3 linked regions of the Saccharomyces cerevisiae S288C genome follow. The gene in region 1 interacts genetically with each later gene. Each region holds a gene or a part of one and is shown in the gene's direction. Other genes may lie near its edges. The genes, in order: PRM15, SDD1 and YER187W.

What was found.
Region 2: mutations in PRM15 (region 1) and SDD1 together harm fitness more than expected from each alone (negative genetic interaction), as found in Saccharomyces cerevisiae (one large-scale study listed by BioGRID).
Region 3: mutations in PRM15 (region 1) and YER187W together harm fitness more than expected from each alone (negative genetic interaction), as found in Saccharomyces cerevisiae (one large-scale study listed by BioGRID).

What each region holds. Positions count from the first base shown.
Region 1 is NC_001145.3:820,915-825,142, forward strand, and holds PRM15 (phosphoribomutase PRM15), read left to right. Parts: upstream 1-1,848; coding exon 1,849-3,717; downstream 3,718-4,228. Other genes in the region: FCP1 (protein serine/threonine phosphatase), read left to right, coding at 1-1,540; ATR2 (Atr2p), read right to left, coding at 3,815-4,228. UniProt on the Saccharomyces cerevisiae protein: Major phosphoribomutase that converts ribose 1-phosphate to ribose 5-phosphate. Involved in ribose salvage via the pentose phosphate pathway.
Region 2 is NC_001137.3:44,447-47,387, reverse strand, and holds SDD1 (Sdd1p), read left to right. Parts: upstream 1-1,666; coding exon 1,667-2,368; downstream 2,369-2,941. Other genes in the region: HAT2 (Hat2p), read right to left, coding at 1-220; phosphoacetylglucosamine mutase PCM1, read right to left, coding at 2,463-2,941. UniProt on the Saccharomyces cerevisiae protein: Acts as an endogenous target of the ribosome quality control (RQC) pathway. During translation, the nascent chain has a propensity to stall ribosomes, thereby stimulating activation of the RQC pathway.
Region 3 is NC_001137.3:564,365-567,239, forward strand, and holds YER187W (uncharacterized protein), read left to right. Parts: upstream 1-1,865; coding exon 1,866-2,291; downstream 2,292-2,875.

The sequences.
Region 1 (4,228 bases):
GTTAGTACTCCCACTTATGTACATGAATGACGATGGTTCTATGCTGAGACCGCCTCCCGTAAGAAAATGTTGGTACTACGTGAAGGTAAGGCCCGGTTTAAAGGAATTTTTCGCTAAAGTGGCGCCTCTTTTTGAAATGCATATCTACACAATGGCTACAAGGGCTTATGCCTTGCAAATTGCCAAAATCGTGGACCCTACGGGCGAATTGTTTGGCGATAGAATTCTGTCGCGTGATGAAAATGGGTCTCTAACAACTAAATCATTAGCTAAACTTTTCCCCACTGACCAGTCAATGGTTGTAGTTATTGACGACAGAGGTGATGTTTGGAATTGGTGTCCAAACTTGATCAAAGTTGTTCCTTATAACTTCTTCGTTGGTGTAGGTGACATTAATTCTAATTTCTTGCCCAAACAATCTACAGGAATGCTACAACTAGGGAGGAAGACAAGACAGAAGAGCCAAGAATCTCAGGAACTGCTGACGGATATTATGGATAACGAAAAAAAACTACAAGAAAAGATAGATAAAGAAGTTAAACGCCAAGAAGAAAAATTGAACCATCAACTGGCGACTGCTGAGGAGCCTCCTGCGAACGAATCCAAAGAAGAGTTGACCAAGAAACTAGAATATTCAGCATCTTTAGAAGTCCAACAACAAAATCGACCCTTGGCCAAACTACAAAAACACCTGCATGATCAAAAACTACTAGTTGATGACGATGATGAACTATACTACTTAATGGGTACGCTATCAAACATTCACAAAACTTATTATGATATGCTCTCACAACAAAATGAGCCAGAACCAAATCTGATGGAAATCATACCAAGTTTGAAGCAAAAAGTCTTCCAAAATTGCTATTTTGTTTTTTCAGGATTAATACCCCTCGGGACCGATATTCAAAGGTCGGACATAGTGATATGGACGAGTACATTTGGTGCCACTTCCACTCCAGATATAGATTACCTGACGACACATTTAATCACCAAGAACCCTAGCACTTATAAAGCGCGTCTAGCGAAAAAGTTCAACCCACAGATTAAAATTGTTCACCCAGATTGGATATTTGAGTGTTTGGTAAATTGGAAAAAGGTGGATGAAAAACCCTACACGTTAATCGTGGACAGCCCCATCTCCGACGAGGAATTACAAAACTTTCAAACACAATTACAAAAAAGACAAGAATATCTGGAGGAGACCCAGGAACAACAGCATATGTTGACATCACAAGAAAATCTAAATTTATTCGCTGCTGGTACTTCATGGTTAAACAATGACGACGATGAAGATATTCCGGACACAGCTAGCGACGACGACGAAGATGACGACCACGACGACGAAAGTGATGACGAAAACAACTCGGAAGGCATTGACAGAAAGAGGAGCATCGAGGACAATCATGATGATACATCACAAAAGAAGACCAAGGCGGAACCTTCTCAAGATGGTCCTGTACAACATAAAGGAGAAGGGGATGACAACGAAGACAGCGATTCGCAGTTGGAGGAAGAGTTGATGGATATGCTGGATGATTAGCAGCTCAGATGCCGTATCTTTCCACACATTTTCCTCATTGGTCTTTGTACCTATAATTGTTCATATTATATATACGTTTGTAACAAATCGATAAATAGCAACAATATTTTTGCTTATTTTGATATCCTGAAATCCTTTTTTTTTTTTTTTTTTTTTTTTTTTTTTTTTTGATTTCATTTCGTTTTTTTTTTTTGAACATTATATATTGTATTGTTTTCTCCCTGTAGCGAGAACTAATTGATTCTTTCTCCTTTCCCCCTAAATACTCAACAGTACTCTCGAGCCATTAGCTGCTGCAATTTCAAAAAATGTTGCAAGGAATTTTAGAAACCGTACCATCTGACTTGAAAGATCCGATATCATTATGGTTTAAGCAAGACCGCAACCCAAAAACTATAGAAGAGGTCACCGCTCTCTGCAAAAAATCCGACTGGAATGAGTTACACAAAAGATTTGATTCTAGAATTCAGTTTGGCACTGCTGGTTTAAGATCGCAAATGCAAGCTGGCTTTAGCAGGATGAATACTTTAGTAGTCATACAAGCGTCTCAGGGATTGGCAACTTATGTAAGACAACAGTTTCCAGACAATTTGGTAGCTGTTGTGGGACACGATCATAGATTCCATTCTAAGGAGTTCGCTAGAGCTACTGCTGCTGCATTTCTTTTAAAAGGATTTAAGGTACATTATTTGAATCCTGACCACGAATTTGTTCATACCCCTTTAGTTCCCTTTGCAGTGGATAAGCTAAAGGCCTCCGTTGGCGTAATGATAACAGCAAGTCACAACCCAAAAATGGATAATGGATATAAAGTATACTATTCCAATGGATGCCAAATCATTCCACCTCACGATCATGCCATCTCTGATTCCATTGACGCAAATTTAGAACCATGGGCCAATGTGTGGGATTTCGACGATGTTCTAAATAAGGCTCTCAAACAAGGGAAATTGATGTATTCCAGAGAAGAAATGCTGAAGTTATATTTAGAGGAGGTTTCTAAAAATCTGGTAGAAATCAACCCATTAAAGCTTGAAGTAAAAGCCAAACCTTGGTTCGTTTACACTCCAATGCATGGGGTTGGATTTGACATTTTCAGCACCATCGTAAAAAAAACACTGTGCCTGGTAGAAGGTAAGGATTACCTATGTGTTCCTGAACAACAAAATCCAGATCCTTCTTTCCCAACTGTTGGATTTCCTAACCCTGAAGAAAAAGGTGCTTTAGACATTGGTATAAACTTGGCTGAAAAACATGACATTGACTTACTTGTTGCCAACGACCCTGACGCTGATAGATTCTCTGTTGCTGTTAAAGATATGCAGTCAGGCGAATGGCGACAACTAACAGGTAACGAAATCGGTTTTCTTTTTGCATTTTATGAATATCAGAAATATAAAAGTATGGACAAAGAATTTCAGCACGTTCATCCGTTGGCTATGTTAAATTCAACAGTGTCTTCACAAATGATAAAAAAAATGGCAGAAATAGAAGGGTTCCATTATGAGGATACATTAACAGGATTTAAGTGGATCGGAAATCGTGCCATACTCTTGGAAAAGAAAGGCTATTACGTTCCTTTTGGATTCGAGGAAGCAATAGGCTACATGTTTCCAGCAATGGAGCATGATAAGGATGGTATCAGTGCATCCATTGTCTTCTTGCAAGCCTACTGTAAGTGGAAAATAGACCACAATTTGGACCCGCTAAATGTCTTAGAAAATGGCTTCAAAAAATATGGCGTGTTCAAAGAGTACAATGGCTATTATGTCGTTCCAAATCCAACTGTTACAAAAGATATATTTGACTACATCAGGAATGTCTACACTCCTGAGGGCGCGTCATATCCTTCATCTATTGGTGAAGAAATCGAAGTACTTTACTATCGAGATTTAACCACTGGTTACCAATCGGATACCATAAATCATAAACCTACTCTACCCGTCGATCCTACATCACAAATGATAACAGTATCTGCTAGACCAAGTAACGGTAGTGAGAATGAGCATATCCGCTTCACTATTCGCGGGTCCGGAACAGAACCAAAACTTAAAGTATATATTGAAGCTTGCGCAAATGAAGAACAAAGAGCCTCTTTCTTGGCGAAATTGACTTGGAATGTGCTGAGACGTGAATGGTTTAGACCAGATGAAATGAATATAGTTACAAAATTTTGATACTATTTTAACCTATACATTAAGACCAAGCGACTTAAAGAATGCCATTATATTTGTTGTTTGTACCTACACTTATATCAATATACATTTAACTAGTTTATGCCTCCAAACTTCTATCTTCAGATTTTCTGTGTCGATTCCAAAGGTTTTCAAGCATGTAAGTCACACTAATCACAACACCAAGAGAAGCGAGCCCAACTCCCAGATATACAGCTGCTCGGTAACCTTTCAACAAATCATTGCCGCTTTTATTAATTTGGTGTTCAACAGTGCCTCCCATACCTAAACATAGAGACGCTGAATAATTAATAACGGTGTTTACTAATGATCCAGCCATACCTTGATACTGCATTGGAAGCCCGTCACTCAATATAATGGATGATGCCGGGAAGGACAGGTCCATACCAAAACATAAGATAGCCTGCATCGCAAAGTTCAACTTCCAATAGCTTTGTTCCACTGGCAATACACTAAACATTATGGAACCAGCGTCAAATGCCATTAGTGAAAA
Region 2 (2,941 bases), on another chromosome or scaffold:
TCAAATAGTTTTCTTCTTCACCAGAAGTGTGCGTACCGATGATTAATTCTTGTTTAATAAAGCCACCATCTAATTCTTGAACAGGAGTAGGGAGCCATTGGACGGTTAAAGATGGCCATGTTAAACGTGTCTCGCTAACAAAGTCATACATTAATGGAACATTGGATTTCCATAAATCGTACTCCTCGTCTACAGAAAGCGGTTTCTCTTGGTTTTCCATAGTTGATTGGTAATTTGCTATTTGGTGACTACTAGGCTAACCACAATTGATAGGAGAGATAAGAGAGGCAGAAGTATTAGAGGCATAGTAACGTCTTTCTAGTTATTCTCCATTATTATTTTCAAGGTTTGTCTTTGTCATGTCGACGAATGCCAGTGAAAACATCCGTACACCTCACAAATTGTTATTTTGAACAGAACAGACGAGCTACTCATCAAGTATCAAATAGACTGAACAAATGACCTAATCTTTCTAGATTACTCCAAAAGAAAAAGCTGAAAGGAAACCGGTTAAAAACATGAAAGCTTTCTGTAGGGAAGTTTTTTCCTCGCTCTGCTCCTGAGCCTACAGGAGCATGGAAATGGTTGAAAGGACCGAGGAAGAAAGGGAGCATGTCAAATAGAACAAGAGGAAAAAAAAGGTGAAAACAGCTATTTTAAGCAGCAGAAGTTTGAGTCAGAAATGCCTACAATATATGAGAATTTCTTCGCACATGGTTTAAAAAAACTAAATAATCCGCGTGATAACGTTCTCACCAGATTATGAAATCAAATAACAATGCCCCACCTGTATATTGCGATTGACGTAAACGGTAATAAATGTAAAATTTAACATAAAAAAGGGTAAAGAAAACAAACTTTTTCAGGGGTCATCCCTTTTTGTTTTCTTTTTCATTCTTATAAATCAAGAGTATTTTATCGGTAGACAGTTTAGCCGCCGATTTTGTACCGCAGTCCAATATTAGTAAATGTTGGGCACCACTTTGAACATACCGACTCATTGAGACTGCAAGAGCAATTATTTTATATTCTTCTTGAGGCGCCGTTAAAGAGAGAATGAACACGACAATTATCTACAGCATGCAATCGTGGTCAGAATTCTAACTTTTTGTCTTATAAATGCGCACGTATTATTTTCATTTATGTATATATAGATAAATCAGAGCATTGAGTAGTAAAACTGAAGGCTCAAGAGTTCTGATACGCGATGAGAATTCGTGCAGTTAGGATGTCAATTTTGCCAAAATTGGGACGGGCGGCTGCCGTCCGGGGATTCCATGAAGAGAGTGGAAAAAAAAGTGTCACTAACTTCCCACAGGTATCCCCGACACCCTATCCTGCGCTAAGAAAGCCAATCGGCTGAATGTGCAATTGATTGACGTTGAAGGAAAAGAAAAAAAGGAGAAAATTGGGGCGATAATAACAATCACAAACGTCTTCCACTTTTTATCAAATGTTGCGGGAAGAAATAAGGGTAAAATGCCTTGTGTAGGTTCATACATATATAAATAAGTAAGGAAGTTAAAAGAAACCCTTCAAAATGTAACCTACATCATGCGTAGGCTTAATATTAAGCGGAGAAAATCGGCAAGCCCAAGCTTATATTCATATTATGGAATACAAAAGGCGAAAAAGAAAATTGACTAGTAACTAAATTGAAAATTAAATGGCAAATGATGGGATTCAGAGGAATGACAACAGAAAGGGTTTTAAAACTGTACAGTTCTCGGCTTATTCTAAAGAAATTGACGTCATAATGAAAAAAATATCATTCTTGGAAAGAAACATTACCCAACAACTAGATACTCTTCCTCATTTTCCAAAAACCTTACCACCAAATCACAAAGATTGTGTAAGTAGAAAGCACAGGGCCAGGCGAGGTTGGAGTAGTCAGCTGAAAAACTTGCTAGGCATTTACTCCAAAGAGGAAATTTTTACTCTGGATAATTTAGCTGCAACACTGCATGATCAAGTTTTAAAGTTACAAGCTACACTTTTTCCCAATGCCATACTGAAACAGGTTCATCTCGACAATGCCAACATAGAAAACAAGAGAATTCTGAAGGAAATTACATATAAATACCTTTCCAACGAAAACTGTAAAGAGGAGAACAAATTCGGAACATTCATCGTAAAGAGAATTTTTTTTGGTGACTTATCACTCGGGGTTTCCGTGTTAATCAACCGTATTGCTTTCGAATCGGCCACATCATCCATTATGGTAGTGAGAAGTTCATTTATTGAAAGTGATTTCTTTTATGAAGATTATTTGATTTTCGATTGCAGAGCGAAACGACGAAAAAAATTGAAGAGGAAAATTTTGTTTATTTCCACTACCATGAATTTCAATTACCAAACCAAAGTCTAAGCCTGTAACAAACGTTGATTGATACCAATATTTTTTCTCTTTCATTTATCTCTCTGTATATCTAAATAGCTATACTATACATCGAATAATGCTTTCAAGCAGATGCCTTAACGTGCTCCACCACTTCGTCACAAAATTGACCTAACTTAGAGGAGTCCTTACATTCCGCATAAACCCTCACCGCATCCTCCGTACCACTGGCTCTGACAAAGCTTCTTCCCATGGGATACTTGGCTACCACAAGATCTATCTTGTCTTGCAACCCCACTGGATTGAGCAATTTTCTTTCCTGGTCCGTGGTTTGGAAAATTGACCTATCAGGAACGATGCACTTAACCAGCTTGTTGGGCAAATCAGTATACTCTTCATCCCAATCCATTGGCGACATTTTCAAAATCGCCAAAGTAGCAAGGACAGCAAGCATGTCTGAAATAGCATCTCCCACGGTCTGATTAATCAATTCAGAGAAACACTTCAAAGTTCTCAAAGCTAACGTATCACCATTTAACTTGGACTTGGATAATTCAGATTTGATAGTTCGATGAAATTTTTCGCTGAATATAATCGTACCAT
Region 3 (2,875 bases), on another chromosome or scaffold:
GATTCAAACTCTTAACAATGTGGGCAAATATGCGTATGATTTCGTTCTGGGAAAGGATAGTAAGAAGCCTTTTTGATTACAAAACCGTGAAAGACGGTTTAGCAGCTTTTACAGGAAACCTGCTTTACCTTAGCCAGTGTTTTCTCATCTTCAAAAAAAAGTATTGTACGCAACTCTTCCATCTAGCAGAGCTCCCGCTCTTTTTCAAACAAGTTTCATTATATTTATTCTTAATAATTTTGGTATCATCGAGGTGAGGTCTTCGTTGTTTCAACACCAGCTATTTTTCAGCGGCTTACAATTACGTAGTTCTATTAACGAATACACTGGGAGGTGAGTATAATCATGGACTGTAACACTATACGACTCCAACACGTTATATGTATCAGTTATATATATATATTATATTATTTTGGGAAGAGTAGCATTGCTTTTGAAAGTACACGGGGTTTACTTTGGCTCATAGAATGGGTCTGGATATGAAATTCTGAAATATTCAGATTTTGGAGTACTGAAAATATTTAGCAAGAATTTCAAATATTAGTTAGTAAACCAAACCAAGGCATCTGAACTTGAACCTCCATAACTCGCTTTCTAACATAATGAGCTTGTATGACATAATATTATAGAACTCGAGGTTAACCTTTAAATATAAATATAGTAATCTTCATGATAATAATTTCAGGGTAGTGCGCGTATTTGTCGAAAAAACGCAAAATGACAGAAATTCTATGTTTACTGACTTTAGATTTTGTTTTAGATCAATTGGCGGAAAAAGGACGCAGTCTGTAACTTTGATTGGCATCTTGATTTGATTTGTTGGGTGGTTCTCTTACAATCAATGGTTTATTTCATGGAAAGCTTGATGACATGTGATAGCACACCATGCTAATTAGTGAAAAGAGTCCTTGTTGACTTACCACATGTGCAGCCGCCTTTTACCGTGGTGCGAAGCATATTGAGCGGCCTGGAGACCAAGAATGTCAGGGCCTTTAAACAATAGAAGAAGTGTATAGGAAAAAACTAAGGTGTTTTGAGATATTTTTTATAAAAGTAGTATTTCTTAAAAATCAGCGGGGAGCCATTCTTTGAAGGCGCGCTTGCAAATTTTAGGTATTGGGCTTGATTATTTTGGCAAGTGTCATGCATTGTAACAAATCTATATAAAGTGACAATTCTGGAACACTGTATCGTAATCCCAAATAATGTATGTAGAATAGAAAAAAATATATGAAAAAATGAATAGATCATACACAGACGACATGAATAGCAGCCCTCCAAATTACTTGACAACAAGGACGTTTAGAATCGTTAGATTGTTTGCAATAATTTTTGCACTGCTTTTGGTAGCGTACTCATTATTTTTAAGCACACTTAGAACTGGAGCTATACCTGACCGCGCCAACACTGCTGCTCTAGTACGGCGAGCTAGGTGATCATTTGCGACTGGATTAGGACTAGGAGGATTTTTAATTGCTGCAGCCGCTTATGCTACTCCTTACTGGGTCGCAGCAACCTGTATCGCATCCACTAGCGGAATATGTTCACCTATAGCTGGTGCTGTTTTAGCAACTTCAGCAGTTATAGTTGCAGCAGTTTTAGTGGGAAAGAGTTCTGGCTCAGCAACAAAGCGAGGGTTAAGTGAGACTATTAATGTACTGAATCATACTATAACACTCACTGATCATGTGCTCAATGGGCAAACATTGTCTAATGGTACTGGTAGTAATTTTGTTACAATAGAGTTTAGTGGGTATGCAGTACATGACACTATTAAACGTGACGGTGCTGCTGAGATCAACTTTGTGGGGTATACTACGGAGCATGGAACCCACATCAGCACGAGTAGCGTACATAATGTGAGCATGCTCATCGATCAAATCGTGGCAGCGGTACCAGGGGTACCTGATATAAGTGGCAACGCTTCGGCCCTATCGTTACAGAGACGCAGTCAAGAGTTCGCCACCTCATGGATATCAATGACATATAGTCAGAGTTATGGTGACCTGGCACAGAACTGGCAGAATGACGAAGGTGGAGCAGGAAATTTTGATTCTTATGCTGAAGAGAAGTTACAGAATTTCTTTTCAGGTAATAGGGATTGGAAATACTGCTTTGCTGCTGAGGACACGAAAAACGGTGAGCCACTTGATTACGATGACATACCTGGTGACGGTGCAGGCACGGGTTCGGCATTCAAGTCTGAGATATATTTTAACACTTACGGTGGTATAGATAATTATTGTAATGACGAGCATATCGGTGCTCAGAACACTGGAGATGGTCGATAAAGCTTTACGCCTGTCGCTGAATTGACTGACCCGAAATTAAGAACTGTTGACGTAGTGAATTACGATCTAGTTTATATGTCATAATGTAGTAAGTTTATTGGACCCTTCTATATGTTATGTAAATGTAATAATTACATAGTTACTGCTTTTGTACATAGAAACTATAGTTTCTTAAGTACTACCGGATTAGAGGTTTGCTACTATATGTTTTCCTTGTCTCAAGCATTACTGAAACAACTCTGAAACAATACTAAAACATTACTCATATCATGCTTTTGGGTTACCACATTCAACAATAACTCGAATACATTTATAAAAAAAACAAAACTAAGGTACAAAACACACACCACACCACATACGCGCTGATTGGTTTTATGGAAGCTAATAGTTCAGACATAGCTCAGAAAAATAATAATAAGTATTATCAAATATAACTCATCTGGTTACATGCTAAGTTCTTGTCAAGTGATATAGCGTTATCTTTATTATTGAATTAAATTCTATAATTAGAATTCGACTACACCAACTAATGACTCTAAAAAATATGTGATTGCCCTTCAAGATTGCATTATTTCTCAATGCAT